2 linked regions of the Neodiprion lecontei genome follow. The protein of the gene in region 1 interacts with the protein of each later gene in a pairwise test. Links are inferred from orthologs where the notes say so. Each region holds a gene or a part of one and is shown on either strand. Other genes may lie near its edges. The genes, in order: E3 ubiquitin-protein ligase RNF25 and ubiquitin-conjugating enzyme E2-17 kDa.

Region 1 (16,342 bases):
TATGACAACGCGTTGCATAGATAATATTAGACATGATAGGTACGTACGTTGTATATGCTGACGTGCATCGACATGCAATCCAGTATAAATCTAACCATCACAGTCGACATTTGCATTCCTTGAATCGAAGGCCGATTTAGCGAGCTTTAAATGAGGGCAGGCAGGCAGGCAATGGTGTGGGACTATATCTACGACCAAGTAAAGAATAAGAAAAGGAATCAGGCGGTGCGAGTGCGGCAGACGATGAAAATTATTTTAAATACGCTGGTATTTCGGTAATTTGGGGTGAAAAAAAAAAACTAACCAGTTTTGCATAATTGTATAATCGTAGCATATAACATTACTGACTAACCGCACGTGCGTTACGCAGATTTTCTAACCTTGTGGAAAATTAACCGCAGTCAAAGTTCGTGTAACTCATTACATACAATATGAGAGGAGGTATTTTGTCTTTTGTATTATCTTTCATCCCTGCGTTTTTTTTTTTCTTCTTCAATTGAAACTAGCTCGTATAATCGATGATATCCTTAATTGCGTGAGGTATAAAACACTTGTCGTATTGAAAAATTGTGATTCCGTATACGACAGAAATAAATGTACAAGGTTTTACATCGACGACGGATCGCCTGTACAGCTCTGTATTATACCGGTACAGCAGGTATAATATACCTAAAAACTATAGAAAGGCGATCTCCGGAGATTACGAGTTTTACGTGATAGTAATTCCGAAAGAGCTGTAGTATCCATGCTTCGAACGGTGTAATAAAACACTTAAACGTTGTCCTATAGTAAAAGTCCCCCGTGTCCATTCTCATAAAAAGATACCCCCTCTCAAACTCTCCTCACGCAGCTTAAGTACATATATGGGTGACGACGATGTTATACCCGCACCAAAAAATTGTCGGTTTAACGAACTTTTTTTGTTACAGGTATACAATTATATATACCTGTACATAAGATTGTTCAATACATATTGGGTTTAACGTTCGTTTTATCCTCGTATTCGGTTGCAGTAAAATGCAGAGATGTCAATTTCTCGTGTGAATCCGGACAAGCGATAAGATCGATTTAAGTTCTCGTCGTTTTGGCTTACGCAGGATCAGAGTTAGGAGAGGAATGTTCCAAGCCCTGATGATGGCTCCGGGGACGAAATGGTGCGGACCGACGCAGCTAGCATCGCGTTATAACGAGCTCGGGGCTTTCGATCAGTTGGACAGATGCTGTCGTCGCCACGATCATTGTCACAGGGCGATTCCTCCGATGACCCAACGCTACGATTATTACAATTCCATGCCGTTCACTCTCAGTCACTGCGGATGCGACCAAAGGTAAACAGTAACAAAAAAAGAAGAAGAAGAGGAATATAGCAAACATCGGAGAAAGTTATAGGAACCAGACCATCCATGCAGTGATATTATATCGATATGATGTCCAGTCGTTTTCAAATTCTATACATAGATACCTCTAGAGAATTGAGGAAGAATATTTAACAATAACGATGGGATATAAATGTCGCATACTTATCGGTATGAAAGAGGAAACGGGTGTTACTGTATGCGCATGATGTATGTCGAGACCAAAGCCCTGCCACACCACCGATGCCGTCGTTGACGTCGCCGTTGCATAATCGCCATCGCCGCCGGTATCTCGATAGCTTCCTTGACCCTCGTCCTCCTTTCCCACCAGGTTCACGATAACGTGTCAAAAATTCGCCTGCAAAATGAAAAGTGAAAGCATCTATCAGATAAAGATGACGGTAAAAAGAAAGAAAGAAAGAAAGAAAAACAGCACACCCCGATATCTAGTTTCTGCGTATTGTTAAAGGCATGTTTTATAATAGACGCAGTCATACCACCACGACGCGGTGTACCTTTATAAGGTATAATACCTATACACACAACAATGCCATGCCATGCGTACGTCGTTGAACGAGATGAATCGAACGACGCAGAAACCCTTATATTATATCAAGTGTATAGGTAGATTGACATGTAACGTTATCCTAAAGCGAGGATAAGAAAGCGGAGTAAAAAGCACCGATGCAGCGATCAAGCGTCAACGGGGACGCCGCTGCAAGCTTGTTTACGTAAACGTCAAGATCGATAACCGACGTGAAGTGTAAAAATTGATTGATAATTCTCCGCACGAAGCTTGTAATATATCATAGGTATATTATATGGGTATTTGTTAAATGTGATAGAAAAATTTCGCTTTACCCTGTAGCTGCAGCAGCTGATACAATTGATTAAAATTCGTATCAACACAGCTACATTTCGGCACCTCGAGTTCTCCCTCTGTCTGCATCCCAATACGTAGTATACGTAGATAACGAATATCGTTCAGTGTGTAAATCCCAAATCTGTAAATCATATATTGTAGATAGAATTGCGTATTAGAAGAATCAGGTGGTTACGATCATAACAGGGTGAAAATGTCCGGTTTTGCGTTGGTTGTTTGTCTGCACCGCAGGAGATACGATGACGGGGACGAGTCTAATAGACGGAGGCGAAGAAGACGAGGACGCCACCGGGGAAAACGCGACCTCCTTATCATACCCGGGACGCAGTGGTGCGGTCGGGGTCACAGAGCGACCAAGTACACCAATCTCGGTGGTTTCGGCTCGGCAGACGCGTGCTGCCGGCGCCATGACACCACCTGCCCGTTCTTCATACCCGCCTTTCAAACGAAATACGACCTCTTCAACTGGGGAATTTCTACCCTCATGCATTGTGCCTGCGACGAGCGGTAAGCTCTCGCCGAACGGAGCGCGATTATCTTTCAAATACCACGCACCGCGACAAGTGTCCCGGTTAATTGCGGTAAAGTATAGGAAATGAAGTGGGGAGGTTGGGGTGAGTGGGGGGCACGAGCAAGAGGATCAAGCGCGTAACGATCATGCGATTGATAGCTAAAGAAAAATTATGTGGTACCGATTTCAAGAGTTTCTCAGTTTTTGAATCTAACGAGCGGATAATTATATTGTTACTTCAATACGCACAGTATTTATTATACCTATACATACATGTGAATAAACCTATACGTTTGTCAATAAACAATCTTAGCCACTTTATCTAAGGATATCTGTATTGATATTCCAAAGACTGCGGTCGCGTTGTACACCTTATCTGTGTTATTATGTATTCGGGTTCTAAAATATACGCGGGCCAAAGTCAATAGAAAACAGAATCACGGGAAAACAGTTCGTTCTAATTTATCGCCAGAGGATCGCGTCGGAACTCTGTTTAAGAAAATTATGCTTCTCGCAATTTATTCTTACTTTCTAACAACGGCGATCGGTTAAGACTTAGAAACAATCGTGTGTACACAAAGTTTGCGTGGAGCAAAATGTTATGGCACAACGTGTGACGATATATACCGTAGTTATTATGCTTGTACAATATCTATACAGAGCACATGTGTGTAGCTTTAAAATTCAGGTTTACACCTGAGTAGTTATAATTACTGCGAGAAAATTAAGTTCACACGAATCTAATTTTCATTAAAGTTATAAATTATATTATTATTTATATTATATGCAATTTTCAGGCTTCATAATGTCTCATCTAACTGCGAAAATGTAATACCTATCTATTCTGTACAGATATTTTATTTTAAAACTGGCAAAAACGCGTGGTAGGGAATGGATACGAGGGGTATTGTATATAATATATGTATATCATACCTATGTATACGCCCATATTAATCTTACGTACGTTACCTTATACTCAACTGTTTTTCTTTTCTTAAATTTTCCTACTTTCAGTTTTCGAACGTGTCTGAAGATGGCCGGAACGTCGTCGGCGAACTTCGTTGGGAAATTGTTCTTCAACGTTGTACAGACAAAGTGTTTTGTTCTGAAGCCGCAAAAAGCCTGCCAGCGAAGATCGTGGTGGGGGAAATGCGAGGCTTACGAGTACCGGAAACAGGCGCATCTCAGGGACAACGTGCCGTACTGACGACGCGACACCAGCTTATAATGACTTTGCATGGAAATTCCATAATTCGTCAACGAATTACACGCGAATTACACGTCACGGTTCCAATTCTGAAAACAGAGAAAAGAAAAGAAGAATAAACAAATTATTTCGTATTCAATTAGCTATATATGACACAGTGTAATAATATATACCTATATAATATATGTATATATATATATATTATATATACATGTTTGTGTGTTAAAATATTTCTGATTCCAAAGTCTCTCGGCTGCGATTAACTTTATTATCTAATCAATTGCAACTGCTATAACTTAAACATCTCCTAAAGATTTTCAAATGTTTCAAAAACTTAGATCCTTTTCACTACTTCCGACCGTTTCGTACGGCTATGTTTAGAGTAAGAAGTACTTATAGCGGTAAAATTGTGGACACTTTATAATTCCAATATATAATGCAACCCTATACTTTGCAACGGAGATATTAATTGTTAATATCTCGAGAGTTGGAGACACAAAGCAACCTTAATTTTTTACTTAAAAGAATTCTTTTTCTTTACGTAACAAAAGAAAAAGTTGCTATACCTATGGTGATATTATTTAGCAGCGAACATATATTCGCGATACTTGAATGAGTTATTTAAAAAATTCTGTATAACCGAATATTAGAAACGCATCAAAATAATTGACTAATCTGTTTACTTTTCCTCTGAAACATAATTCAGACAGATGTCTGTAGCGTCCACTACACTTCGGCCGTATTGTAATATTCTCGATCGAAATTCACAATGACAATAAATTCACTACGGAACGACAATAATAACATGGTACCTATACATCTAGGCATACGTATGATATACATACAATAATGTATAACTATAACGGTGTAGTCAGTGTGAGTAGGACCAATTTTAGTCGAATTATAATGAATAAATTGAAGTATGTTAAGAAAATTACTGCATTATGCATTGTGGGGTAAAAAACAGAGTGTAATGGGTACGCGCATATGCATGTGATAAACTTCCATAAAGAGATCCACGTGATTAGTATACGTTTTATATAATATGAAAAAGCATAAAGTAAATTTTTCAGCAGTGATAAAAATTTCGTCGAAATAAGTATAGAATCGAGAGAGTCTATTACAACTATAGTTTATAATAACTTAATTTATGAATTAATATGATGTAATTATTCGTGTATCGATGGATTTTGCGGCACGATCTTCCGTTCGCGCTACTCAGATGTAGAATTATTACATGTACGTACCAATAGAGATTAGAATAGTGAAAATGTAACGATTTTTCGCAAGGAGCGAACGCGTTATGTTATTATATAAAAACATTGTAGTTTCGATGATATTCTTTCTGTCTCTGCATTATTGTAAATATGTATGATAAAGAAGAGAATTATTAATGAATGATACGCGATATGGGCACAGACGGCTTAATTTATTATGCGAATAAAAAGACAATTGAATACTCATTAGCATCGTTTTTATTTTACCCTGCAATGTTCCATAAACGCCTCCTGGAAACAATGTCGCCGGTTTTATGAGAAGCAACCACTGTTGCCGTTGGATTCTTTTCAATGAAAGTTATAATACGCAACGTGTGAAAATATGCGTCCAATCCTGTGGCTGTTCAGAAACGTCATTATTACGATTATTTCAGATATTACGAATGATTCGTGGATTTATGTGGTAAGCAGTTCATCTATCTTAAAGTCGATGTAAAATATAATTGAATATACTGTGATTGACAAAAATATTGACAAGACTGTGGATGCAATGAACAAAAATATATATTCCAAAATAACTTACCAACGAAGTATGTGTGTAAATCATGGTAGCGAGTATCAATATTGTGGGATGAATCCCGTCTGATCCGTGCTTCTGTTACACTGATGAACGATCTTACTCCACGATGAGATGAAAAAATTCTGTATCAAGTTATGGCTATCATTTATTCGATATGCAATTGTTTTTCGTCAACCTTGAGTTAAAAAATTTGATCTACGGAAGATTTTTAACGATAGCCCGCGCGAGTTCACAGCGCACTGTCAGTGTTGCCAACCGTCCTCTAGTCCCAAAAATTTCGTTCCATGTTTCGGACGGAATTCGGTAGAAACTTGCAGCTACTGAATTGATTCCTTCTCAAAAATATTAGCTCGACCCGAGTCAACCTCATAATAGCGTTATAATCGTAGTATTATTCATTTCTCATTCTACAAGATGTTCGCTTGCAAATGTTGGGATGTAATTCACGTCCCTAGAATCTCTGAATCCTGACATCACGAACTCAACACCCGCGCTTTTATTATTCTACATTTTATTTTTATTTTTCCCAGCGCGTGAAAATTGAAGTTTCATTGGCTAAAATTATTTTCATCTTGTGTTTCTATCACGTTTCGACATTCGCGACTGTTGTAAGAATTATATTGAAAAACATTTAACGGTGAAATTATCGCGGATGCTCTGCTTTTTTTCTTTTTTAAATAACACGTATCGAATGCAGGTTCGGTATCTGTCTTCCAATGATAAAAAAAAATACCCCAGTCTTTAACTGGCAGACCTGTAAATGTAGCAGAAGCTGCCGAACAAGGCAAATCTGTAAAGCAAACGCTTTACGTCGGAACGGCCGACTAATTTGTCGAGGAGACAAAATATATTAAATATAACAAATAGCAGATAATACCTTTGTCAAATTGTTACTCGCATTTATCAGTACTAATAATGGCTGATCCTGGCATAGACGAAAGGTAATTCGCAATGATACTGAGCCCAATACGTGGTGACAATTTTCTCGAATGTGTCAAACTGTCACTATCAATATAAATTTTTCTACATTTAATTATATTTCTTGATATTGCTCTTGTTTATACAGGGTGACCGATGAGATCGAAGCTCTCAAAGCTATTCTTCTAGATCACGAATTACACATCAAAGAAAACCGAAGGTTCGCAGATTTAAATCTTTTCTTTCCATGGATCGAATATTTCGAGTTACTACGATACTATTTTGCAAACACATACTACGGATATATGTGGAGATGCATGTTAAGAAATCACAAAAAATATTAACAGTATTTCAGAAGTGTCGAGCTTCAATATTTTTTCGCTTACCAAGTACGGTATCTGGTTGTTTCAGAGGCGAACCGGAATGCATTGAGACCATAGTATTTCCATCAACTGGAGAAGACTCTCAGTCTCAGTACGTTTGTGTGAGATTAGTTGTGGATCTGCTACCTGGCTACCCAGATGTTTCGCCAAGGGTTACACTCCGTAATCCAAGAGGATTGCATGAAGACACCGTTCGTCTCATACAAGCGGATGCAGAAGCTAAGTGTCAAGATTTTGTTGGTCAGCCAGTTATGTTCGAGTTGATTGAGGTAAGCTGAGAAAGACTCTGATCCCTCGTTAAAATGAATGATGTTCGCAATGTTTAGTGGTAATTTTTGGTACTGGTGAAAAAAAATAAAATAAAAATAGTGTACACATGATTTCAATATTTGTGTAATCAGTATTGAATTTGATCGATATAGTTATTGGGACCCGGATGTGGCGGAAAACAATCTGTTTCTATATCTCGGTCTAATCATTGACAATTACATTCACAAGGAAATTTAATTAATTACAGCTAGTACGGGAACATCTCACTTGTAGCAACTTGCCCTCTGGCCAATGCGCTGTTTGCCTCTATGGATTCAGAGAGGGTGATGAATTCACTAAAACCGAATGCTATCATCATTTTCACTCGCATTGCCTCGCAGCCCACGTAGCTGCTGCTGAACGGCATTATAGAGAGGAGCAGGAAAAAGTGCCGCTATGGCAACAAGATCCTAAAAACAAGTTCCAAGTAGGTTTCCAATGTACATTTCAGAGTTGACAAATCAATGGTACTTGCTTGTTGTGCAAAACTTCTTATTTTTCAATGATCGTAGGCAATCTGTCCCGTATGCCGCGAAGTGATTAAATGCGATGTTGAAAATCTAAGCCTTGCTCCACCGCCGTTTGAAGTTGAAACTGCAAAAGATTTTGCAGTTACTGCAGAACTGAGGGAACTGCAACATGAAATGGCTGCCTTATTTTTACATCAGCAGCAGAGGGGAGGAATAATAGATCTTGAAGCTGAGGGAGTTAAAATGCTTTTACGAACCGAAGAGGAGTCTACTGGTACTGTGGAAGAGCCCAGTCCTTCTGGGACGAGTTTAACTGCAATACAAAATCAAGAAGAACCAGTGGTGACTCAGGTGGTAAGCTAAATGTTGAAATATGTTTTCTATAATTCTTGAAAAACAAAAGCACGACAATAAAGTTTGCAGATAATGCATGGCGAATTTTATTCGGATTTAATGTTTGATTAGCAACACCCTCAGCAGTTCGGGACGCAGCATAAACCAAATCAATATCAGCCACGGCAATCGCAACAAAATCATCAGAGACACAATAATCATGGTCATCGAAACCGGGGACGTGGTCGTCCTAATTATCGACGCCACTTTGACAGAGTACGGCAACCAGAGACGACTCCCAGATGACAATGGGTTCGCGACAATCTCAGCACTGCCTGGCATCTCTCGTCATTAAATTTACACAATACAATTAGCATTATTAGCGTAATACTCGACGTTACTAGCTGTGGCTGTCACATTTTCAATCGTCTTTGTGTAATTAAATTATAGGTAACGGTGTCCTTAGCAGCTCTCCCATTGTAACGGTATATAAAGTGGGATGCATTTGAAACTTTTGGATACGGTCTACGATCACAGTAATTTTGAATTGTACAGTCAATGTTACAACCCAATTTACCGCCAGCATGAATTTGTAAACTTTCATACGAAAGGAACTAAGTAATTCATTCAGACTCATTTACATCTCATTAATTGCAGACAGTGTGTTCAAGATTTACGTTTTGAACAGTTTAATGTGATAATTAAAACGGCCAGGAAGTAAGTTTAGCACTTGTAATAACTTTTGGGTGTTGTTTTCAAATTATTAAAATGATGTTAAACTTGCTTTACAGGTATTCTTCCAAAAAGTTGTGAGTAGCGGTACTTTCCCAAGTTTTGAAACACTTACTATATTTTTATTCCATGCAATTTTTTTGACCCATTTGTTTGTCTTACTGGTTTCTAATATCCCAATCGATACGCAATATCTAGTCAAACTTTGTGTGAGATTTTAGAAAAATGGCGGCAACGCATAACGTGATTTTTCGAACGATTATCTTATAGCTATGCAAGGCTTCTGATGGACATCAATAAAGAAGCAGGCAGTACTTTTATAAAGGTATTGAATGTAATCAATCAAGGCGACTCGAGCTTAAGATGTGAGTGGAAAGTAAAAATGTTCCGAATTGTTAGACTTTAATAAAAATTACTCCCATGTTATATGCCGTATAATAAATGTTGTCAAAATATACATATATACCTATATGTGTGTCTATATATATATATGTATATACAGAATGACCCAGGGGCTATCGCCCCATAAGCTATCAGTGTCTCCATCATGAAAATCCACAACTGAAACGTTTCTTATTTCTGATGGGAAATTTTTCGTTTGCAAATTACAGCCGTATGAAGTTGCCTAATTCCGTTGCATCTGATAGAATAGAAGAACCCGCTGGCGGATTGTCATTTGAGTATCATGTGCTTGACAACTGTTCTAAGCCATAAGATACTACCAGATTGGTAAATTTCAAACAGTTGTAACTCGCAAACTACGAATTTCCTGTTGGAATTAAAAAACGTTACTGTCGCAGATATTCGGGAGTAATACATCGGTAGCTTATGTGGCGATAGTCCTGGGTCACCCTGGATGTATAATATATATGTATATATATATTTATTACAGTGATCTTTGTTTTTAGGTGCGAAAAATTTTCATTGGACCCTCCCCCAGATCTGTTCCTAATCATCAAAAAAAAAACAACTATGTCAAGTTTCAAGCCGTTACGTCAACTGGAACACACGGCGCAAAGCTCCAAACGTTTTAATTGGCAAATACACGTTTTTATAACCACTTACTTTATCTTTTATAAATTTTGGTAAAAATCCTAAATATTTCAAAATATTATAAAAGCTTTTTAACAACAATTTACTTACATATAAGCTTAATAGCATCATTTTTATTAAGCTTACAAACAATAACTATCAAAATTTTCATGGTCTTTTCCTATCATTATAAGTAACAATTCTGCCAAGTCTCAAATACTTCCTTCAATTTATACCAGTCATAGAAATCGAACCAACTGGTTATAAAGAAATGTTTTTTTTATTTATAACGTTTCGAGCTTTCAGGCATGTGTTTCAGTTGACGTAGCGGCTTAAAAATTGACAAAGATTTTGTTTTAAAGATTTGAAATACATCTGGGGCCCGGTCTAATGAAAATTTTTCCACCCTCCAAATAGGAACCACCCAAATATACATATATATATATAATGACAGAGACACTTGTCGCATCATTCCAGTCAACCATTAATCGTACTAAATAGTGACGTTAAATACGTAAATGAATAATGAACTGTATTTAAACGTGAATTGAAATTGAATTGTAAGCGCTTATCTACGTTTGCTGAACATTGCACAATAGTTATAACTGGAGTTTAATCAGTACTGCATTCGCTATTGATAGTAATAAATTGCACATGTAGCTCCACACTAAATTGTGAATTTGGAATTTACAAAAACAAAAACTGAATTATTTCTGAACTATCTTGGCACTCAGTGATGTAAAAATTAAAATATCATTATCACAGAAATTTTTCAGCCGTATTAATGATGCACAAAGTGGATATTTAAAGACTTTTGATGCTCTTAACGTACTCCAATCACTGTTTGAGTTCTCAGGTGACTAGATGCATAGATCACCATCGTTAACTATTGTTTAAATGTTGCGTACATAGCACACGTATGAAACAGGATTTACGTTTATTTTACAGTACCGGCAAAAAATAAGATATAAGTGTTAACAACTTTTGCATTGTTGACAAAGAGTTTGCAGCACAGCTTTGTTTCAAGTGTATGATTTCAATGCAACACAGTTTATGATGTTCTTATTTTATACCATAAGGTCTCATCAAAACTCATCATTGTAACATATGTCGAAATTTGTAATCTGTATATCAGTTTATCGATATTAGAAGGTAGACAATGACAGTTGTACGCAAATTCGGTCTTGTTATTAATTGTGTTACTTATTCTTAGAACTTTTTTTTATCAGTAACCAACATACTGATATTCAAGCCAAAGTCTTGAAAAATAATAATTAAGAGTTGGTATTGCTGAACAGTTTTGAACCTTGATAATATTATGCACTTGTTTATACATACGTATATTTATGATTAGGAACTAGAAAAACTTCAGAGAATATTAAAAAGAAAAAAAAAAAAAAAAAAATTATCTTTACACGGCAATTTTGCATAGATCTTTTGGCGATTTTCATTCAACTATACAGAACAATGGCAGTTATATCAGAAAATGTCAGATTATTATAAATCAACATCTGTATTTCATAAATATATCATTTAATATATTAATTTCATATGATTTCTTTACTTTCTCTTTATATTTACATCACGCTACTGACCTAGCACTGTTTGTAGGTGAATCTGAGGACATTTGCCCGGAGTTCAAGAATCGTGCACGATGTCCTAGATCAAGGGTTTCAAGCTTTTTATGCAGTTCTTCCAGTCCTGCCTGTACAGGAACCAGTAAATTTTTACCACTAGCCAAAACCTGTGTTACACTATGCATTAATTCGGCATTTAGAGGAACTGGGGAAGGAATTTCCGTAGTTATATTTTGATAAAATCCGTCTCCATATCCCTCGTCAATACTTTCTTCCAACTTATTCGCCATTGAAATTAATTTCAGTCGATCGTTCAGCTCCTGGAAATTAGATAACCAAGTTTTTAAAGTGTTTGAAGAAAATGTACAAAATTATTATGACACAATAAGTGATGGAGAAATCAATATTATTTTATCGATATATCAAATATCTTTTAACAGTCTATAATTAAGACTAGGACAAGATCTGGGAATTCACCTTATTTCTCTCAAGAGCCCGCTTGAGACATTCCTGTAAAGAGGAGTCTGTTTCAATCCTCTGAAATAACCACATCATTTTCATTAGTGCTAATATTTCGTTGATTTCTTAATCAAAGCAGTGCAGTATAGATAACACGGAATTGAAATTAGTTTTCAAAGTTGGTGATCAAATATACTAAACTCTGATTCTGGCATTTCGCTTGTTATTCCAATTGTAGCCGCCAATTTCCGTCCCTAGGTTTAGTTTTACAGACGTATAACATGCTACGCTTAAAAATGAGCTTTTCAGTAATTGCAAAGAAAAATAGTAAGGACGATAGGCGGTTCTTTGAAATTGCATACCCTATGTGATTGAGCGTATCAGGTGTTGAGTGTAGATGACAGGAAAGTACCTTGTGTTCAAAAATATAGAACTGGCAAACTGGATTGAAAATGAGGATGAAGAATTTCTCTTGGTATTGCTAGCATGTGAATGAAATGTAGCTGAAGCAATGGACCAAAATTACTGCAATGAATGTAAAAATTAGAACAATAACATACGAATATAAATGTAGGTGAGTGATGAAATATTAGGTAAAAAATGAAGAAAAAAATATATAATTATTCAAATGCCAGCTTACCGCTTGAAACAATTGCTTTCTGCTGTCTTCTCTGTTAACTTGCTCCTCCAAATATCTGATCTTCCGTTTGGCATCTCTCAGCTTCTTGAACAGAGCACTATTAGCAGCAAATGAACGAGACCTTAAGGTCTTGTTCTCATTTTTAATTTCCTGAATCACAGCGGCCTTAGACTCCAACTCGATGTTTCTTGTTTTAATCAGTTTGTGTTGAGCAATCATTTTGTTAAGTTGAGATTTCAGTTGGACTATCGCCTGTTCAACTTGGCCATGTTCCTGTTTGGAGTTCAAGAGCGTCGACTCAAGGACATCCTTCTCAGACTTAACTTTATTGAGTTCAATCTGCACGGCGTTGAGTCGACTCTTGGCCTCATTTTTTTCCATCTCGCACTTCTCCATGTTTATCCCCATACTGGATATCAACTCTCTGTACTTGGCTAGTGCACTTTCCAGTGAGTTTTTCTGAACCTCTACGCTGAGGAGGCGTTGCTCCATTGCTTTAAGCTCAACTCTCGTGTCCCTAAGCTCGTCCTCGGTTGATTCCAATTTGGTTGACAAATCGGGCGACAGGCGAGTCTGGGGGTCCTTGAGTGGCATAGCCGCTGCTTGACCTAGTGTAAGTTTTGCCCTGAGCTGTTCTATTTCTTCCTTCAACTCCTGGCGCTCTTTTCTCAACTTTTTACTCAGTACGATGTATTCGTCATTGGCCTGCTTGCACCTGGCAGTCAGAGCCAAGGTCACTTCGTGCTTCTCCTTCACCAGTCGTTGATAAGTATCAACTTCGACCTGAAGGCCCCTCTTGCTGGCCTGCAACTCGTGGATCTGTGCCTGATACCACTGCTTCAAATTCTCAGCAGCTAGCACCTGCCTCTTGGCATTCTTCAACTCATTGTCGAGCGTAAGCCTTTCCTGGAGCGAAGCCTGGGCCTCGATGTACAGCTCGGTGATCTTGTCCTTCAGCGACTGGTTTCCCACGACTCTTCCATTCAATTCGACCTGAGAATTTTCAAGGTCTACTCTTAACCTCTCGTTTTCAACTTCGAGGGCCGCCAGGCGCTTTGATAATTCCGCACTCGACACGTCCGGGGTGGAGACGTGCCTTAGTCGAAATTCGTCCGTTATCAAGTGCAGCGAATCTGTCGAGGTCACAGAGTCGAGCTCGTACCTTGAGGAGTTATCGGAAAAGCTGTCCATTCTTAAATCTCGGCAAACTCGGTGCTCGTTCATCACTGATCAATTTCTATAACAGACCGATTTGCGATCACCTGCCATTTTTTGCTCAATTCGCAAATTTTACATACGGTTCCGGCTAACTTTGCTTGGTTGGTTTGCCTCTTTCGTTTACAAAACACTGTGGTAACAAATCTCTGGCACTATTCTTAGAACAGAAACGAATTTCCTGGAGTCAGCGCCACTTACCTTACCGTGGTTGCAATCAGTACTAGAGAAGCTAAAAGGGACTTGGTAGCGGGAAATTCGAATTTAGAGTAGGGAATACTTTTTTACGTATTATAAAATTATTACTAAAAGACGGGTACATAATACGTACGTCGCTAATTTCGCTAAATCTCGAGTGTTGAGCTTTTTCATTTTTGGGTAACCTATATCGCACAGATGTTACGTCGGAACGATTTAAAACACAGCACTTTACTTTTCTAGGCATATTAGCTAACAAACACTTCAAAACACTTTTTATGTAAGAGCTAACAGAACGAACGCCTTCAATCAACAGGTAGTGTCAAATGTACCAAAATGTAACATGGCAGCGGCGTCACCAGTTGCACCAGTGTACTGCGAATCTTTAGACCTGCGAATTGGCTGCGACCGTGGTATTAAAATGCGTGCCGTGGTTGAAACAGTACTAAACAGGGAACCAGCTGGCCTGTGGCCTTAGAGCATGTACAGTATCCTTTCAACCACGGCATGACTTTTAGCGCTACAGTCGCTGCCAATTCGAAGTTCGAACTACGCAGGTGACCCCGCCGCCATGTTACATTTTACTATATTTAACAACAGCGAACTGTGCACAGTTGACAGCGCGTCGTCAAAATTCATCGAGGAGCGAGCATCAACTCTTTTCACAAGTGTTCTACGTGCGAAGAACAAAGATATATATTGCAAAATTAGCTGAGATCTACCGAAGATCACATTTCCTCGCATGCGAAGAAAACTTCAAACGGATCAGTGACGTTTAACGTGAGCACGGCTACGTTCAAATGTATTCGGATGTAACCTCAGAACTGTTACGAACGTCTCGACGTGAATAAATAGTATTGGCTATAAACAGAAATTGGATATTCATTTAAAGCAAGTTTACTTGTACATAACTACGGAAGAAATGGCGGATGGCAGCAAATCAAGTGAAAAACAGGTTGAAAGGCCTATCGTAGCTAAATCAGCCGTCGATTTGCAAAGGTTAAAGCTCATGAAGTTGATGAAAAATCCTGTAAGTTAAGAATTACACTTTTATAGATGAATATCGTAGATTTTCTTAGTTTTTTTTTCCAACAACTTACATACTGAGAGTTTCGAGAATATTCAGAATGTGTAAATTTTAGTCATACCATTTCTCTGTGCTTAGGACAAACCAATCTTACTGCCCGAGAGACCTAAGTCCAAGAATACTCCAACTGTACCAGAATTTGTTCGAAATGTAATGGGCAGCAGCGCTGGTGCAGGAAGTGGAGAATTCCATGTGTACAGACACTTACGCCGCAAGGAATATTCCCGGCAGAAATTCATTCAAGAGAAAGGAAAGAAGGTCAGTGTCAGATTTTACAAGGAAATTGTATTCTATGGGTATACACATTTTCTTGTACAGACTCTAATGAAAACTATTTGAAACGGATATGAAACTTTTCACAAATTACAAATTGCTATTTTATTACAGGAACTTTTGGATGAGGAATACCACAGGAAGTTGGAAGCCAATAAGGAAGCAGCGAATGATGCAACAGCCAAAAGGCGAGCCAAGCGGTTGAAAAAAAAACAGAGACAAAGGCAGAAAAAAAAATTGAAGCCTTCAAACCCTCAGAACAGCCAGAGCGACGAAAGCGAGCATAGCGATACACCAGCCGATGACTCAGGTCCTGAAGAAAATATTGTGGTGAAAAGTTACAGTGTTACTCCAAGTATGAATCACAATTCTGAAAAACTCGACAACAGTGTTGACAGTAACGAACGTAAAGGAAGTTGTGAGACTGAGGTTTCGACAAGTAAAATTGAAAGTGATAATCATTGATAACGTATATACATTACTACAAGACAATGTATAAGTTATTTACAAATGGTATGTTTATTTTGACATGCGAGTTCCAGACCAAATTTATCATCGTGAGCATAACTGTTACAAGTAATCGACTACAGATAGATGATAAAGAAAACATTGTAAAATGGAAAGTCTGTTGTGTTACTGTGGCAGTAATTATTGGTTACTAACTTTAGTAAAAGGTTGATAAGTTTGTACGATGTTCAGAAGGCTGGATTTTTCAGTAGTTTATAAGATAAACACTTTAAAATTTGGGGCGGTTTTATAAAAGTTCAATTCTTTTACCTGGGAAACATTTCCATCTGTTTAAGACCCATAGACGTGAAAGAATTGCGGAAACCTTAGACTGTGTTTTATCATTACTCAACAAACCTACCAACTGTAGCAGATCTATCCACTCTTTTGGAATAACATTCGATCCACGTACAGGCTAGCCTGTAAAATATTGGCTATAGTAGGAACTTCTCAACA
Region 2 (16,787 bases), on another chromosome or scaffold:
CTCGCTCGTTCTCGGTCGCGACGCGCACCGTCACGACGTCACTCGTTCACTGCCGCCACCCGTCACGCGAATGTAGATTTGCGAACGTCGCCCCACCGCCGACCGTGCTGCCACCACTCGACTTTCTTCGCCGCGTCGGTAACGTCGAAATTCCTCCTTCCGACCGTCGGGTGAACCCAAGGCTTTCGCCTTTTGTTTTTCTTTTCGAATAATCGAATATGACTCTTGGAGAAGCTTAAACTTAAACATAAAATATTATAAATTCCAATCCAATTTCTCACTTACAGGCTTGGCTTAATATTATATACAGAAAAAGCATGCTGTTTTCATAATTGTGACAATCAGTACGTAGGTATCTGGCATTGATAATCGGTGATGACGTGCCGCGGCTTTCACCTTTACACATAGAATGAACGTGCCTGCAAAAGGTAAATTCAAACGGATGATTTGATAATGCGAGGCTCCATCGTGTTCTTTCTTTTTCTCTTATTTTTGTCATACACTTGCACTACTAATGTTACAACGGCATTAATTTGTTAGCAATTATCGCCTACAATTTCAGCTTCAATTAGTAGTGCAAATTAATTGGTTCACTGGCAAATAATACCAGTAGACTGAAACCGAGTTTTCAGTTTGAATAGGAAAACCTGTACAGGCGTTTATTGTCATTACTTAGGTCATGTTCTGTTATAGATACATGAATGATGAACGATCAGTGTAATGGTTCGATAAGCGTACAATTTCTTCTCCCGGTGGTTCTATATTGAAATTTGAATAGGTCTGAATCCAGGCGGAATAACGTGAATATCTGTAAGTGACGGATTCCATCGTCTCAAAATTCTACCTGCATATACAACCAACTTATAAAGCTCGTTATCCATTGCGTTGAAATATACTCCGTCGTATTTCATCGATTGAAGTCGCTATACAGTTTAACCCCCCATACGGTTATTAACACAAAGATCGAGGTACAAAAACGTGACGTAACTCGCCGACGTCAATGCAGATATCCTCCACTGGAAAATTGGAGAGCGGTACCTACTGGTGTTCTTCCAGCTATGTCGCATCTTTCTTACGATCCGGACTACGCAGCTCTAATTTATGCCAACCCAATGGCTGGGATCATATACCCTCGCCTTTGAGATTGATTAATTAATAAATTGAGGTAGCGTGAGTATTATATACATATGTAACCAAGTATATATATGTTTGTGTTATACACATTCGTTTCGTATGTATTCAAGAATAAAACACTCAGATACCATCAATCAAGCATAGAACGACAACATTCTCGATAAAAATTATTGTATTATCCGTCATAAAAAATCTTCCGGCCCACAAATTAACCCTCGTATAACAAATGGTTCTTCAGTACCGACTTGTTGCCTCCGTGCAAACGTCGAAGAATGACTGCGCGAACTCCTTTTTACAAATTTCAGCCCTATTCTATCAGACCCTCTGCAGAGTGAACTTTCGTTCGAAGAATCGTCCTGCTCCCTCCTAGAGGACATCGACGTCTCGCTACGATCCGTTGGCCTTTCACAGGTCAAAACCGTACCCGAAGAACTCGACGACGTCTCGACACTCCGATTGCCTCTCTGGTCTCGACGATTGAAGGGGACATCAGGATGCTCGATTCTCAAGACTTTGTGCCCGGCTCTAGAGACGGCGGCTTCTTCTGGCCTAGAAAAACTGAACACCGGTTCAGCCGGAGGATCGGGCATAGGGCCAATATACGAGATCGGAACTATACAAATTCTGTCCAAAAAGTCGGGAAGTCGGATTTCCGGTGCTGTCGGATGATTCTCGGAAGATTCCGCCACCTTTTTTTCACTTTCAAGGGTTCCGACTTCCGGTTTTGGATTGTCAAGCCTCGGAGGCGATGCTGTGCAAATATGAACCGAAGACAATTTTCGGTCCGTACAACCCAGTGGAGAAGTGAAACATGGCCATTCCATTTCCTGTTTGCAATTCTCCGAGCCACCAATCTCATCCACGGGCACGCCAATGTCCACGCCAGGGTGACTCAGGGTGTTTTCAGTCGATTTGGCCTCGATGAGGTCTTTCAAGCCGTAGAACGTCGGGCTGACTTCGGTAGCTGCGGACAACAGCTGGACAAACGGACATCGATAAGTCGCGTAGTTGGTCCCGTCGAAATCCGAGACCTTGTGGTTGCTTGGGAGGTTCGGAGCCTCCATTTCGTTTTGAAAAACAGGGTTGTCATCTGCGCGGAAATAGTCGCTTAGAATGAAATCGTCTTTGACAGGTTTGACCTGAGGTCGGCATGCAGGGTTTCCGAGGATATCGGACCTCGTCCAATTCATCATTTTGGGCAGCTTGATCATGCCATTGATACAGGACAGGTTGTAGTCGAGGTTCAGAGCTCTGACCTTGCCGCGAATTTCGCTGAGCTCGTTTTGTAGCGGTCCAAGTTCCCCTTCTATGCGGGAGAGCGGATCGTACGACTTGTTCGTCGTTGTCAAACGCTGGGACTCCAACTCTCGGTGACATAAACTTGAACATTTGTGACTGAGAGGTTCGTTGCTCGGCGTCGCAGGTGGCATACTAGCGCCACTTAGACTCGGTGAAAAGGTGTAATCGGAAGCAAATTTGGAATTCCTTGTGATCGGTAGGACGTTCAACGCCTCGGCGGAGTCCTTGAGACTATTGACAACTCTTATTCTTGCAGAGCGTGAACTCTGGGAAACAGGGCGACAATACATGCCGCTGATTTCCACTTCGCTCGCGCGATCTGTCGATGCTTTGCATCGTGGACTCGCGTCTGCATCCTCCGATAACTCCGGAAACAGGGAATGTCTTGATTCGTCGTGAAATCTCGTCGTGCCGGAGGAATTCGAACCGTCCATGCACGCCGCTATCAGCCGCATTTTTTCCCTGATGTCAACCGGCGAGTCGGACACCAGACGTTCCGCCGGTATGTGAACGTCGGGATACTCGTAGGATCCCCAGGGTGTGGCGACCCTGATCACAGGCAGGGACTCCGACTTGTTCGCATCGCTCTCGACCTTTGGAGCCACGAAGTACTCCGTTCGCTTCAGGCTCATTTCGTCGACATCGACACTCGTGCTCGATGACACTTCTGACCCTTCATTCCGATGGCTCGGGTTGCGGGAACCCATCGACGGGGTCTGACGCTCCGGTAAATCGATCCTGGGCGAGTCAGAGGTGCCTGCAGTTCATCATTTATCTCATTCATCATCATGCGTTATTATAGGGACTCACAGTCAGACAAGGATACCGGATCAGTCGCGAGGATCGTGAATGGAGAACGCTAACCTACGATCGTGTTACTGGCAGCTGTGAGCTCATTTTGCGGGGCACTATCTTCATCGGGAAACAGGACGGCGTCTACCAACTGGGGGACGATGGTACCGCTGGTAGAACGAGCTAAGTTATTCGATGGTTTGCGGCAGTCTGCACCTGCCCGAGGACTGTGATGACCTTCGCTGGAGGTTTCATAATCGCCTTCCGAGTCCGTAGCAGCGATGACGAGTGGTGTAATTTGGCTCAAGGACACCGAGGTTAGGCCGGAGGAGGCGAGACTCTGACCAAACGGAGGATCGCGGAGAGAAATGGTAGTGTGGCGGGCGTTAAAACCGTCGCATTCTGTCATGACGACTTTCCAATTTGAGGGTACAGTCGACTTTGTTACACAGACGCACGGATTCGGGAGGGAGAAAAAAAGAGGAGAAAGAAAAATGTGAATAATTGCAAGAGAAAAAAAAAAAACAAGCAAGCGGAGCGGAACACGGGATCTCGCAGGATTTCGATTGTATGGCTCGCACCTCGATAATTCGTTATACGAAACCGAATCGCTGCCAACATCAGACCGCGATATGCAACCGAGACATTATCGTTGATAAGCGACGAACTGCAATGTCGTTCTGTTACAGGCTGAAGTTTTTATAACGTTATTGTAATAATGCGTCTATAGAAACTCGTTATTTTTCAACTTTAGAATTCTCTAAAATTTAGGAAACCATTAATGAAGCATGAACAAACTCAGATTTAGTAAATTCAACTTTTTAGTTATTCTAAAGTTTCAAAATAGTAATTTTTATTACAACGTTTCGATACGATAACGTTACTAACTTCAGCCTCGTCGTTCTGTCACATACGTACAATTCATGATTTTAAAAAATTTCCACGTCACTTTCGCCTGGCCTTTGTGCAGCAGGGATTATCGCCGCAACATGCACCACCCCTGGCGGAGAGATAATTCGGTGGGCCCCTGGAGGAGGGGTGCTTCTTTTTCCTGGCCTCGATGACGATGTTTGCGGGGAGCAGTATGTCCTCCCAGGGGATTTCGACGTCGTCTAAATCGCAGAGCTCCTCCTCCGGTATCGGGCGTATTTCAACCGGCCTTTCGAAGGCGAGATCCTCCCAGGGTATCTCCAGGGTCGAATCGCAGAGCGCACCGTCGGCCCGGAGTCGCGGCTGCGGGGCGACCGTGTCCATCACCAGGAGGTCGTTCCACGGGAGCTTCATCTTCCCGGTCGATTCCTTCGAATCGACTCCCTCGCTGTCCTCGCCGCCGATTTCCCGGAGCTGAGCTGCCTCCTCGACTGGCTCCTCCTTGACCGTGACGTTAGGCCTGATCCTCATGGCAACAGGTGGGAGAGCGATGTCTCGCCACGGCAGCTCGATCTTCGAGTCGCACGGTATCGACTTTTGCGAAAATTCCTTACGAAGGCAGTGCATATACGGCTCGTGCCATATCTCTTCGTCCGGATTGTGCACCAGCGTTTGCCGCTTTCTCTTGCTCGACGGCTTCGGCTTGTTACCTCCTGTGCCTTTCTTTCGTCTGCTGCAGAAGCACTCGCCCGCCTTACGCTGCTCCGCCATAAAACTCAATTTACACGCAGCAAAGAGCTCGGGGTTTGTTACTTTTCTTTCTTTTTTTTTCCCCACTTCTTTCTTTCTTTTTTGATATAACTTTTTTCGCCTCTCTTACTTCGGTTCAGCAAGTTAAATCGCGCATGCCTTATTGTACCGTTACCGTATTACGCTCGTCGCCTTTAGACTTGTTAATTTTTATATTTATTTATTTTTTTTCCTTCCTGTTAACGGTTTATGTAACCTCGCATCGTGGCACGCGTGACGTCTGTTCTTTGCGTTTTGTTTCATCATCGATTAATCCACTCCACATGGATACAGATGTAATATTATCCACTGCATACACATTACGCGTCGTTTTCCGCAATATACATTCGTAGAAATTCATATTACCGAAGAACGTTGTTCCGTATGATCGAATATTTTTATTAATAAATACCTAATGTTTTTCTTCTACGCTGCAGGAGGACTCGATAGTTTTAAACTGAATTTGACGAATTGTATGATACTTCGAATAAAAAAAAATGATTTAAGATGACGTACACACTTGTGAGTTACCTAATTTTAATCCCTCCGAAAAATATCGCATGTTACAGAAATAGAACGTAATTTAAATGCAGGTTGAAAAGACATTTCGAATAGTCGTCTAATAAAATGCTGTGTAGCCGAATCGCGCAAAAAGAAGAGAAGAGAGAAAAAAAAAAGATTTGACACGCCGAGAAAGGTGTGAAATACGCGGTTGCGCGTCACAAGGCTTCTTTGAAAATCTGTTTACGTCATGCTGGTTACGTGAAATGAGGATTTTATAAAAGTAGCCGCCATATTCGACGAGTGTCAATGCCGCGTCGGTATGGCGGGAAACCGAATGACCGGCTGCCGGTCGGGCGGCGCATAACGCGAAAGTCTCTACAATCCGCGTTCGCCGGTAGAAGGAAATCCGTGGAGTCTGGATCGAGTTGGAGATCAAGAAGTGAATAAAAACTGATCGAATCGATAGTGCCGTTGGATTTTAGTCGGCTAACGGATATTTTTGAAATTCCGATAATTTCTCCCCGCGTTGAACGATACCGGCGAGTCGGTGGAGGCCAGTAAAAGGTGGCATGCAGACAATAGCTTGAACGACGTAGTGAGACGACGTTTAGAAGGCAGCCATCTTGCAATCCCTAATCAAAGATCCTTGGCTAGCGGGTTTCGTTGTCTGGGTTTCAGCCAGTTTATATCAATACACAGTCCATCAAATGGCTTTAAAACGAATTAATAAGGTACGTCAACGATTCCTAGTGTTAATACTTCATAAAAAGTATCCGCGGACAGTGTGCTGTGCGTTAAATCAAATTGAACGCCCTTAACAATTTTGCAGTGAAGCAATGTGAGCCAGCATTGAAAATCATGTTGGCTTTTACCCCTTTTTTTCACCGTTCCGACTCTCCGTTACCCGATTGTGCTTTCGTTTATCGCCTGTCCCATCGCGTATTCAAATCACCGTATTCCCAACGTGTTGCTCGGTCAATTATTTTCATTGTGATTATTCCACAATGACAGTGAAAATACGATAAATCCTTGGTAGATGGCCGATAAATAGCCGGAAGTAACGTAAAACCCTGCGTTATATGTCTGTATATGCCTACACCTATATATCCATCCATATACATGTGCTTATATACACGGCTATAGATAACTCTGAAACTGGGAGAAAAAAAGAATATACCCCCATAAACGCCAATTCCATGACCTGCAAAGTTCGCGCAATAAACCAATCGCTGTCCGGATAAAACAAATTTACCAATATTTTATCATCGTTACTTTTCCTCCGACAAAATCTTTGCCATTTTGAATAAAGACTCGCTGGCGTTGTGTCATTTCTGTGGCTTAGAACCAGTTGGAACGTTATCGTGACGTCATTGATCTCTGGACCTGATTGTTATGGTCAACTCGTAGAATAACCAGAAAATGTTCTGGAACATTCTGAGTCATTGATATCGAGTGGCGTTGCGATTTAATCAAGCATAGATCTAGCTGCTAATTGATTTGGCAAATTCTACAAGTGCACTTAACTCTGTTTTTTAACATTTCAGGAACTCCAGGATCTGGGAAGGGATCCACCTGCACAATGCTCCGCTGGTCCAGTAGGAGACGATTGTAAGTTACAAACTGCACCACCTTATTTCCAATAAGTCGACATTGACTCCTTCATATTCATTTCGCTTCCTGCCTCGCCCAAAACATCTTCATCTTTCTTCCTCTGACTCAATTTTTCTGCACCTGAAATCTTAAAGTTTCAGGTGTTACAACTGCAGCTAGAGATTTCATTACTTGTCTGTGTGATTCAGAAATGTCACCCATTGTTCATATATTTCATATAATTTATCTTTGTTCGAATTTACAAGTTCAGAATCAACAGTTGCAGACTTGTACTTTTTGCCAAGTGTACCTCGATGTCTCTTTTCGACTGTCTTAAATTTAACTTCACGATTTGAAAAATGTTAGAGCTTCAAAAATTTGGCAATTTTATATATCTCACCATAGCAAAAGTTTTAAGTATTCTTTGTCTGACACTGGTCAGTCTTGAACACAAATTTCAGGCGATTAAGAATAAAGTATATGAATTGAACTGTGGATTGTAAGAAATGAGCTCTCAAATAATATAAGGAAAACTTTGTTAAGAGCTAGAGCGATTGTTTCAAAACTCATTACTGGGCAACACATTTCAATAACACACATAAATGCGTCTTTAATCATGTCGGTTAGATATAACTGACTGCTCGGTATATGCGCAAGTACTTATAAGCGTTACCTTTATTAGGATGAATGCTTCTTTGATGTATAAAAGCTCTGCCTTTACTACGGCAGATAACCTGGAATTTTAAATAAGAATTTTGCTAGCATTCATATAGAATCTATAAATAGTTCAGACCAATGTGGTAGTCGACACCCACTACTTACCAATACCTGCTCTTCAAACTATTTTTCTCTACATTTTTTTTAGTTTATATTGCAACAGGTTTTGGTATTGAATGCCAATTATAAAATAAACTTGATTCCCTTTCGACTGGTCGGCACGATGTTGACCAGATACTTAGTTTGAAAATCTTTACAGAAATGCTTATTTGCTTTCAACTTGCCTGAACGCAAAATATTTATCTGAACAACTAACGAACTTTGCCTATAAACTTGCATTTTAATTTTCAATTGAGATTGAAACCAAGTTCATTATCCGCACACCAATGAATCGGGTGCTTGAAACTATTTCAGCCGGCTTCAAAAGTCTTTCAGCAGCTTTCATGTCATGGTATTTTATTCTTGGGCCATGTGACTCATCCTCTTGGGTATCGTTAGTATGTGACTTGACAATAGGACAGAAAATTGCTGTTTTGCCAGACTACGACTAATCTATCTTTTTCTCCCTTCCCTCCTTTCCCTCTCCCTATCTTGGCGGAGACTTGAGAAAAGTTTTCCAACTCCCGAGAATGTTATTTGTATGAAATGAGAAGCATATATTAATTTCATAACAAACCGTCAACGTTGAAACTTGACACTTTGTCTTTCAATTTTCAAAATATGATAAAGTTATATCCATAAGACATCCGGATACAGGAACTTCCTTTCTCTAGCCATAGAGTTTCATATAATATTATCACACGCTTGTTCATGCAGGAAAATATTTTACTATTTACGTCTTAAGATTTGTATACATCGGTTCAGCTTAAAATGCATTAACGAAATGTTAATTACACTTACGTGAAAACTCGTTAGGAACTTGCTTCTTATTCCATGTATTATACTTCTTGGATATGACTGGCTGGCCAATTGATCTATGAACAAACATTTAGATATATAATTATCTTCTCATGTTACACATTTTCGCAACAATACAATTGTATGTCTTTCTTTCTTTAATTTCAGTATTCCACTGGCAGGCCACCATAATGGGACCAGTGAGTAATAAACAATATTCATCGTTTTATCCTCACACAACATCTAATCTGTGATTTCTTCATTTTTCGTCTCATGTTCTACATCGCATACCGCACATCTCTCAAAACGAGTTCAGCAAATTGTCATTTCAATATTATGTTCACAGTTTACATAATGTACCGTTAACTTATTATATATATATTTTAGTTATCAACAGTAGGTGGAAATTTAGTCGCATATAAAAAATGTCATGCATATATTTTCAGCCCGATAGTCCATACCAGGGAGGAGTATTTTTCTTAACAATTCACTTCCCAACAGACTATCCCTTCAAGCCTCCTAAGGTACGGTGACGTGTCAATTTTATCCAACTACCTTATGTGTTCTTATAACCAGTTCGATATTATTCAACGCATATGTCCTTTTCCTAGGTTGCTTTCACAACCAGAATCTATCACCCCAATATCAACAGTAACGGAAGTATCTGCTTGGATATACTAAGATCGCAGTGGTCGCCAGCACTTACTATTTCAAAGGGTACATTCGTTATAGTTTAATATATTAAATTTAACAATACCATATAAACACGAATAGTTTGCCTTGTCAATTATTTCAAATATATCTATAACATTCGTTCCTCGACCAGGCAGTTCAGATAATCACAATGTAATAGTAGCTGTATTAAATTTGCTTCTTTATCGGCACTGCTTGGTGTTAGAGATCAATTATAGATAATTATTTATGTTTTGCCACGTCCATTTCTATTGCACTTTTTGTGTCATTGCCAACTTCGTGCAACGTTTGAACTATTTATAGTGATCGAACTACGTATTTTGCCATTTTTAATTCTATGATGTATCTTCGATATCTCTGGCATCGTATCACGCGTGTCCATTTTCTGTTCAACACGGTTTGCGATTGCAGACTTCTCAACGATATATACTGTGGTGATTTTTATTTATTTATTCATTTATTTTTTCCTTTTCGGTTCCAATTGGCGGCAAAATTCTGCTAGCACAGTTGGTAATCTGTTGCAAATATCACGAGTGTATATTGTTAACAATATTGTTGCGATAACAACTCGGTTCAAACATTCTGCACGTACGACACGCGTTGCAAAAGAAATGGAAGGACGTATTTTGTGGTATTGAATAATTGATAGTGAAAGATGAAGGTGAAAAATGATGAATAATAATTATGATTAATCTGTATAATTGCAGTGTTGCTGTCAATATGTTCTCTATTGTGCGACCCAAATCCTGACGATCCACTGGTGCCAGAGATAGCAAGGATATACAAAACCGACAGGGAGAAGTATAACGAATTGGCACGCGAATGGACGCGCAAGTATGCCATGTGATGCGCCAATTCTCGTTTACCTTAACATCTAAACGCCACGTCTGTCAGCAAACAACCCCAGCCATCATTATGCCACTAACCGATCAACACCGATTCAACCTAGCAGCGGCCTGTCTCTTTTTATACGTTCGCACTGCCACCCAAGCTTGTAGAACACGTTCGGACCAGTCGTGACCAGTTGTGATCAATATGATCTGTTCTCCCTTCGCGTCCTGAGAATAGCCAGTGGGTTTTAAGACGATGCCGCGGCGACAGCAGCAGTTGAGACAATTAAGAATTTTTAATAGGTGGTCACACACTCACACTCACGCAAGATACACATTTTCACACAAATAAGCCAAAACACTACACGCACACGTACACACACAGACACACACACACACACGCAAAGATCCTCTCTCCCTGACCGAATATTATTGGAATAATTAAACACATGTGAAACAGGAAAGAAACAAGGAAGAGAAATAAATAAAGACAACATCAACAACAACAACATCAACAAAAACAACAACAACAACAACAAGTAATATCGATTAATAATATCTGCTTTGATTTTCGTAAATAAATTAAATTAAAATAACCAAATATAGGAAAGTAAAAGTAGGATTTATATTTGAACTTGAGATACTACTATTTCTAATAATTGTGCTTATATGATATTATGATATTGTACACCTACTTTCTTGGTAAAAGATGAAAAAACGAAAAGATATAGGCAACAAAATGAATAAACTACACAATATTTAAAGAAAGGAGAGAAACAAAACAAGCGATTTAACAAGTAATGAAAAAGCAAAAAAAAAAAAAAACCTCGACTGACAACCTGCTGATTGTTAGTTTTTCGACGTGTAACGGAAGCGACATTTGCCCGTCCTTTTAAATGTGCGGTGATTTCTACTTTTTTTTTTTTTTTTTTTTTTTTTCTCTTGTAAGACTGGGCTTCTATATATAAATACTACTGAAACTATACCTATAAATTTTGTTTCATTATTCAAATTCCTCCACCCGTTTAACGATGTTCCGATGATAAAAAATCATTCAACTGTATCCGTATCGAGTTATACATACATACATGCATACATTAGTAATACGTTCATTTACACTCAACTGCCATAAAGATAATAATAATAATGATAATAGTTAACGAGCGGTTTGCCTGCAGATGGCCAGTTGCAACGTCTGAAACTGTACGTCGGGTCCTCGCGAGAAGTCATACGCGGATTTTTCACGCGTGTCTGCCGCATTTCTTGCGATACAAAATTAAAAAATCATTCGGTACCAACACCCTGTGTCCCCGTCCCCCTCAAACCCCCCTATCATTAATGTAGACTCCTTGTGTTTTTCACCTTAAATAGCGTAGAGTAATTTTTCCGTTTAGCGTATGATCTTTCGTTTTACATGCAATTCATTTTTTTTTTCCTATTCTCATTTTTTTCTTATTTTTTAGACTTTGCTTGGAATGAGCAAACCTTTCATCCACAATATAATTGAAAAAAAAAAAAAAATGACGTTTAAAAAATCTAAAAAAAAAAGAAGTCGTAGTATACAATATTATATTATAATACACAGTATATGATTTGTAATTTGCCCATGTTTTTAAATAGCAATTAACAATGTATATGTATAGTGATGAGATATGTGTATCAATTTTAATTATTGTCACAGGTATTCGCAAAACTTTGTATTTTATAATTATATATATATATATATATATATTGTGGTTGTAAAGGATGATAAAAATGATGATTATGATTATAATGACAATGAGATGGTGATAATGATGAGGATGATGATGATGATGATTTAACATGAAAAAAGTAATCTCTTTGTTCGTTTCTCAACAATGAAAAATACATGTATCCAACGTTCTCGCGATCATACGGACTTGTAAGTGATAATAATTACTGGAAAAAATTTAAAAATATTCAAAAAAACACAAAAAAAATAAAATAAATAAATTTAAAAAAAGAATATGAAATAATGATAAATGGATATGCTCATCAAAATAGCGTTTATCATTTTAGAAAGACATACGTTGTACACTAAATAAGACTATTTAAAACCATGTAATAATCGTACACAATAGAATACCTTAGCGTCTTTAAACAGTGTTATTTCGATCCTCGCGTTCATGTCAAAGAACCTACTATACTTATATATGTTTTAAATATGGGCGTTGGGTTCAATTTTCACCTACCCCCGGCTTGGTAAAAATAATTGAATGTAAATTTGCGAATGGCTTGTTTTTTTTTTTTGTTCTGTTTCAAATAATAGACTTCCGATGAAAACAGGTGATATTTGCATATATACATATATAACTGCGTCGCGACTCGCGTGTATAATTGAATGTATTTTACGTTTAAAGCTAGGATTTATAAATCGAAAGTTGACTCGAGTTGGTGCGAAGAGATAAAAGGCAGGTTTCTTGTTGTTGCCCTACATGGTTTTTCTTTTTTCATAACTGTGAGGTTAATAAATTTAAAAGGAAAGAAAAATATGGAAAAGTAATGGAAAATTCATTTGAACGAAGAATTAATATTATTACTATTCAAATTAAACGATGCAAGATAATGCCTACTTTGTATGTAAAAGCGGATAGTAAGTTCATTGGGATTTCGATCTTTTCTCTGATCGAACGATGATATTAACATACATATTACGTATAGTTAACTGTAATTTAATTCTTTTTTCTGTATTTTTTTCCTCCCCTACCCCCTTTTGAATCAAACGCGGCAACGTATAGGTATTTAAAAAAAAAACTTTCTCCTCCATTGATAATTGTTCGTTCTGTAATGAAGATGAGAAACAAAAAAAAAAAACAAAAAAAAAAAAAAACGAAGAGAAAAAAGTGAAAAAAAAGTGAAAAATAACAATGATGAGAAGAAGTAATAGAAAGGTTAAAAAGAAAAACAAGGAGAAAAAAAAAAAACTTTGAAATAAAATAAAATAGAAAGGAAGGAAAAATATTCATGTGTAATTATTATGTTAATAACGCAATAACGAACATTTTTAATAACTTATCCTGTGTAAATTTTAAACGTTGGCACTTTATGGAATAAAGTTTGCATAACGATTACTATAGTGCGTACCGATTATTTACATGCTCACAATATCAGATCTCCATTATCCTATTACTATATTTTGGTTACTATTGTATTTAACTTTGGTTACTGTTCAATAGATGATAAATATTTCTTACCTACTACATTACCAGGGTAGAGACACCACTGGATGAAAAGTTTAGTAAACGAATTCTGAACTGGTGGCTCTACTCTAGTTATAAAATTGAAATCGATAAGAAGGTTTTACGAATTAGACGATATAAAAATATATACAATACCTACGTATACCTCGTTTACTTGTAATTTCTCATCGTATCCGATATCATTCTCCAACCAATGTAACATACATAATGTAACACTATACATATACACGATTCATATCTCATGGTTATTATACTGGAAAGGAAATAGTTTTGTTTAATTGAATAAAATGCGCAAAAAAAAAAAAAACCGAAACGCTTATGGAACATTTCGCCTCACGCAGGACAGAACATATTAAAATTATATGCACATAATAAAAAAAAAAGAAACGCAAAAACTCCTCAGTTATTCAGAAACAACAAACTGTAAAAGACAGAAATTTTATTCTTCCAACCATACTAAAAAAAAAAAGTTCAAAAATGTTGGTTCAAAAAACTTGGATAAAAAATTGAGACATAGTGAAAATTCGATGATAATTTTAAACCCATTTAACGACGGATTGCGAAACTGCCTCCCGCCACGGGAAATTTGCGAACCTGCTACAAGGATCGAGGCGGTGATTGCGCTTGCGAAAAAGGAGGGACCGCGGGAAAATCGAAATTGCGGAATCCGGATGGCCTCGTCTAGGAGTCGGGGAGGCGGTCTGGCGCAGTGCGGCTCTTTGCACTCCCTACCACGCGTTCGCCGATTCAATGAACGCCGTACACCGAAGTCCACACAAAACGGATTCCGAGGGAGTGTTCCGGTCAACTCAGTCCTTTCCGTTCCTCCAAGAGAGTCGGTGGCGGCTGTCGCTGGATCGACGTCGTTTAGTTCTGACATGCAACAACTGCAGCCGTTTCTCTATTAGCCGAAACAATTCGCGAATATAGTAAACGTCGTTTAATCTTCGCGCCGCTGATCAAGGTACGTGCGATTATTATTCCTCAAATTCAAAATCAAATCGTGAACGGTGCGGACAATTTCTCGTTTCATTCTGCTCATGTTTCTTATTTTAATCGCACTTTTTTCTCATTACGCTAATCGACCGTAATATTTCCTACATTATATTCGTACTATCGTATACTCGTCTCTGAACGATGCTAAATCTGATTAACGAGTGTGTCGCGATGTTCTGGGAGAGTGGAAAGTTTCGACCTTGTCCATCTTCGGTTAATTGAGACTAGAGTAAGTGGATATAATATACGTATATACTCCTCGCGTCGATATGTTCTTGGTATTATCCGCAATGTCCATTTTCGTTGCTGATAACAATCAGGTAGGATAAGGAAATTTTTATACAGGCATGTAATTCGAAAAAGAGCAAACTGTGCTCTACCGAAAGAGGATAAAAAAACCGTGCATCTGTCACATCCCGTGTACCCAATTTGTTATTTTAATTTTCTCTTCGAATTCTCCGCTACGTACAATAATTGGAGCGCGTCGCGATATCCCGCTTCCTTTTTTTATTGTACTTTCAACAACGTACGTTCGATATAATACACGTATGTGCCTACCTGACAATTATCGTATTTTCTAAATTAGTAAGTAGGAGAAACGTCGTTGCGCTGCAGTTCGAACAACGAATGAAAAATTATTTATTTCTTTTGTAAAAATTAAATTTCAGACGACAGCATATAATCTAGATTCCCGAGTTTTGTGATACAAATTCCAAACTAATTGCATTCAGGAAACGCGGATCGTATAAAAGCGATTACCCTGTATTTTGTAACACACTCGCCAACGTGATAATTTTCCTTCGATGCGTGCAGCGAGTGCAGTTACGTCGATATTGTCCACTTGACAGCATCTGCATTATGCCCCCGCAGTGTCGTCGACGGTAGGTTCATCATTGAGCCTGAATAACGGCAGCTTGAATAATAAAATCGTCTAGTCAAGCCGCCGCACATTACGAATGCGGTACACGAAGTATAAGTATGAGAATTTCTTAAATCCAAATGAACTTTTGCGGTCCGCGCTATGCCGAGTGTCTTGGTTCGACTATACCGTGCATGTTACAGCTCAACTTTCACGCTGAAAAGAATAAGAAAAAGTATACAAACAGCTAGCGAACCCATTACGCTGTAGAGACACGAAAGATGCCCGGAATATACGCGGTCAATGATCGCTTGAACGCTCTTTCGCGGTTTCTTTATCCTAAAAGCATAAAAAACCAATTACCGGATTTCAAAAGTGAACGGCGTGAAGAATATTCAAGTAATAATCTGACTGATCTAGTTTACATGAAATTGTTGCAGTCAAAGTATTCGAGTGACATGTAAATTCAATTCAATCCTCGTGGAATTTCGCCAGCTCTTTAACGACGAATAAAAGGAATAAAATATGCACGTACATATTGATCAAGGTTTGCGACAAATTGTGATAAATTGCTGTATCGAACTGCGATATATTTACATCTGTACCAAATGTACCTAGCCATTCGTTGTCTAGCAATGCACGCGATTGATTCACGGTGAAGCTTCCAGCCGACTTTCTCGCCGATTAGAAGCGAGAGATTGCCTGGAAGCCAAAGAGCGGTGAGAGTAAACCTGGAGGTAGTCAGGCCATTGAGTGGTCCTCGTCTTCCTTCTTGACCATGCCGGATCGGATCCCCTTCTCTCCAAAAGTCTTGCGGATATTCTTTCCGTTGTCGATCTTGGCTCGTCGACTAATATGTAGGCCAGTTCGGATGGTCCCGTGTTCGGAGAATTGACTAGCGAGTTTTAAGAACCGCTCTTTACAACTCGGGGAAGTGGTTTTGTAAAATATTTTCTCTTTGCGTACCGCATAAAAAAAAAAAAAAAACGGGAAAAGCGTTATGTCAACCTGTATTGGGAAATTGTCCAGTTCGCAGCTATGCGTATTTATCATTGAGGCATTATCTATCAGCTTGCCATTCGTCAAACAGGGCAAAGGTCGAAAAATTTGCAAGTTTTAAAGGGAATCGTAATCTCTCAAGTTGTTGATTTCATTCTCACGATCACAACGACGGAACAAACGTCGAGTGTAATCAAGTGCGTACTGCGAATTATTGCCCTGACACTTCAACAAGTATCGACGCCTTGAAAATATCTTAATTATCAAAACACCGTCCGACAGAGGGGATTTTATCTTGTGATTAGATCTTGCGCAGTCACGTTTCTGCTCTGTATTAATTATCGCGGATCGTTGTAATAAAACAACAATAACATTGCTCAATATAGTAATTACCTTTACTATCAAACAATTTTTACCGTGAAAATTGCTGCGATCGAAAAACCCTACGAAAATTAAAATTCGACGTCCCTTTCGAAAATCTGGAAATACCTCGTACCCTTGATTCGCTAATCGTTCGAACTTCGTTTCACTCCCAATTTTCACAGGGTCGTTCCAATGATGAAATTACTGGCAGGGGTAGAAGAATGCGACAAGCAA

What was found.
Region 2: the proteins of E3 ubiquitin-protein ligase RNF25 (region 1) and ubiquitin-conjugating enzyme E2-17 kDa interact in a two-hybrid assay, tested with the Drosophila melanogaster proteins (2 studies listed by BioGRID). The link is inferred for Neodiprion lecontei from reciprocal best matches to the Drosophila melanogaster genes CG13344 and eff.

The regions. Positions count from the first base shown.
Region 1 is NC_060264.1:3,155,035-3,171,376, reverse strand, and holds E3 ubiquitin-protein ligase RNF25, read left to right. Parts: upstream 1-6,520; 5' UTR 6,521-6,668; coding exon 6,669-6,694; intron 6,695-6,819; coding exon 6,820-6,891; intron 6,892-7,082; coding exon 7,083-7,323; intron 7,324-7,571; coding exon 7,572-7,790; intron 7,791-7,838; exon of another isoform or gene 7,839-7,875; coding exon 7,876-8,187; intron 8,188-8,298; coding exon 8,299-8,472; 3' UTR 8,473-11,314; downstream 11,315-16,342. Other genes in the region: uncharacterized protein LOC107221289, read left to right, coding at 1,098-1,328, 2,470-2,745, 3,764-3,956; myosin heavy chain, clone 203, read right to left, coding at 4,006-4,045, 11,526-11,827, 11,985-12,044, 12,607-13,830; PRKR-interacting protein 1 homolog, read left to right, coding at 14,942-15,049, 15,185-15,364, 15,494-15,844.
Region 2 is NC_060260.1:3,776,620-3,793,406, forward strand, and holds ubiquitin-conjugating enzyme E2-17 kDa, read left to right. Parts: upstream 1-5,785; 5' UTR 5,786-6,095; coding exon 6,096-6,119; intron 6,120-6,932; coding exon 6,933-6,996; intron 6,997-8,760; coding exon 8,761-8,792; intron 8,793-9,038; coding exon 9,039-9,116; intron 9,117-9,203; coding exon 9,204-9,309; intron 9,310-9,992; coding exon 9,993-10,132; 3' UTR 10,133-10,825; downstream 10,826-16,787. Other genes in the region: uncharacterized protein LOC107218795, read right to left, coding at 4,171-4,866; progestin and adipoQ receptor family member 3, read left to right, coding at 16,746-16,787. UniProt on the Drosophila melanogaster protein: Catalyzes the covalent attachment of ubiquitin to other proteins. Mediates the selective degradation of short-lived and abnormal proteins.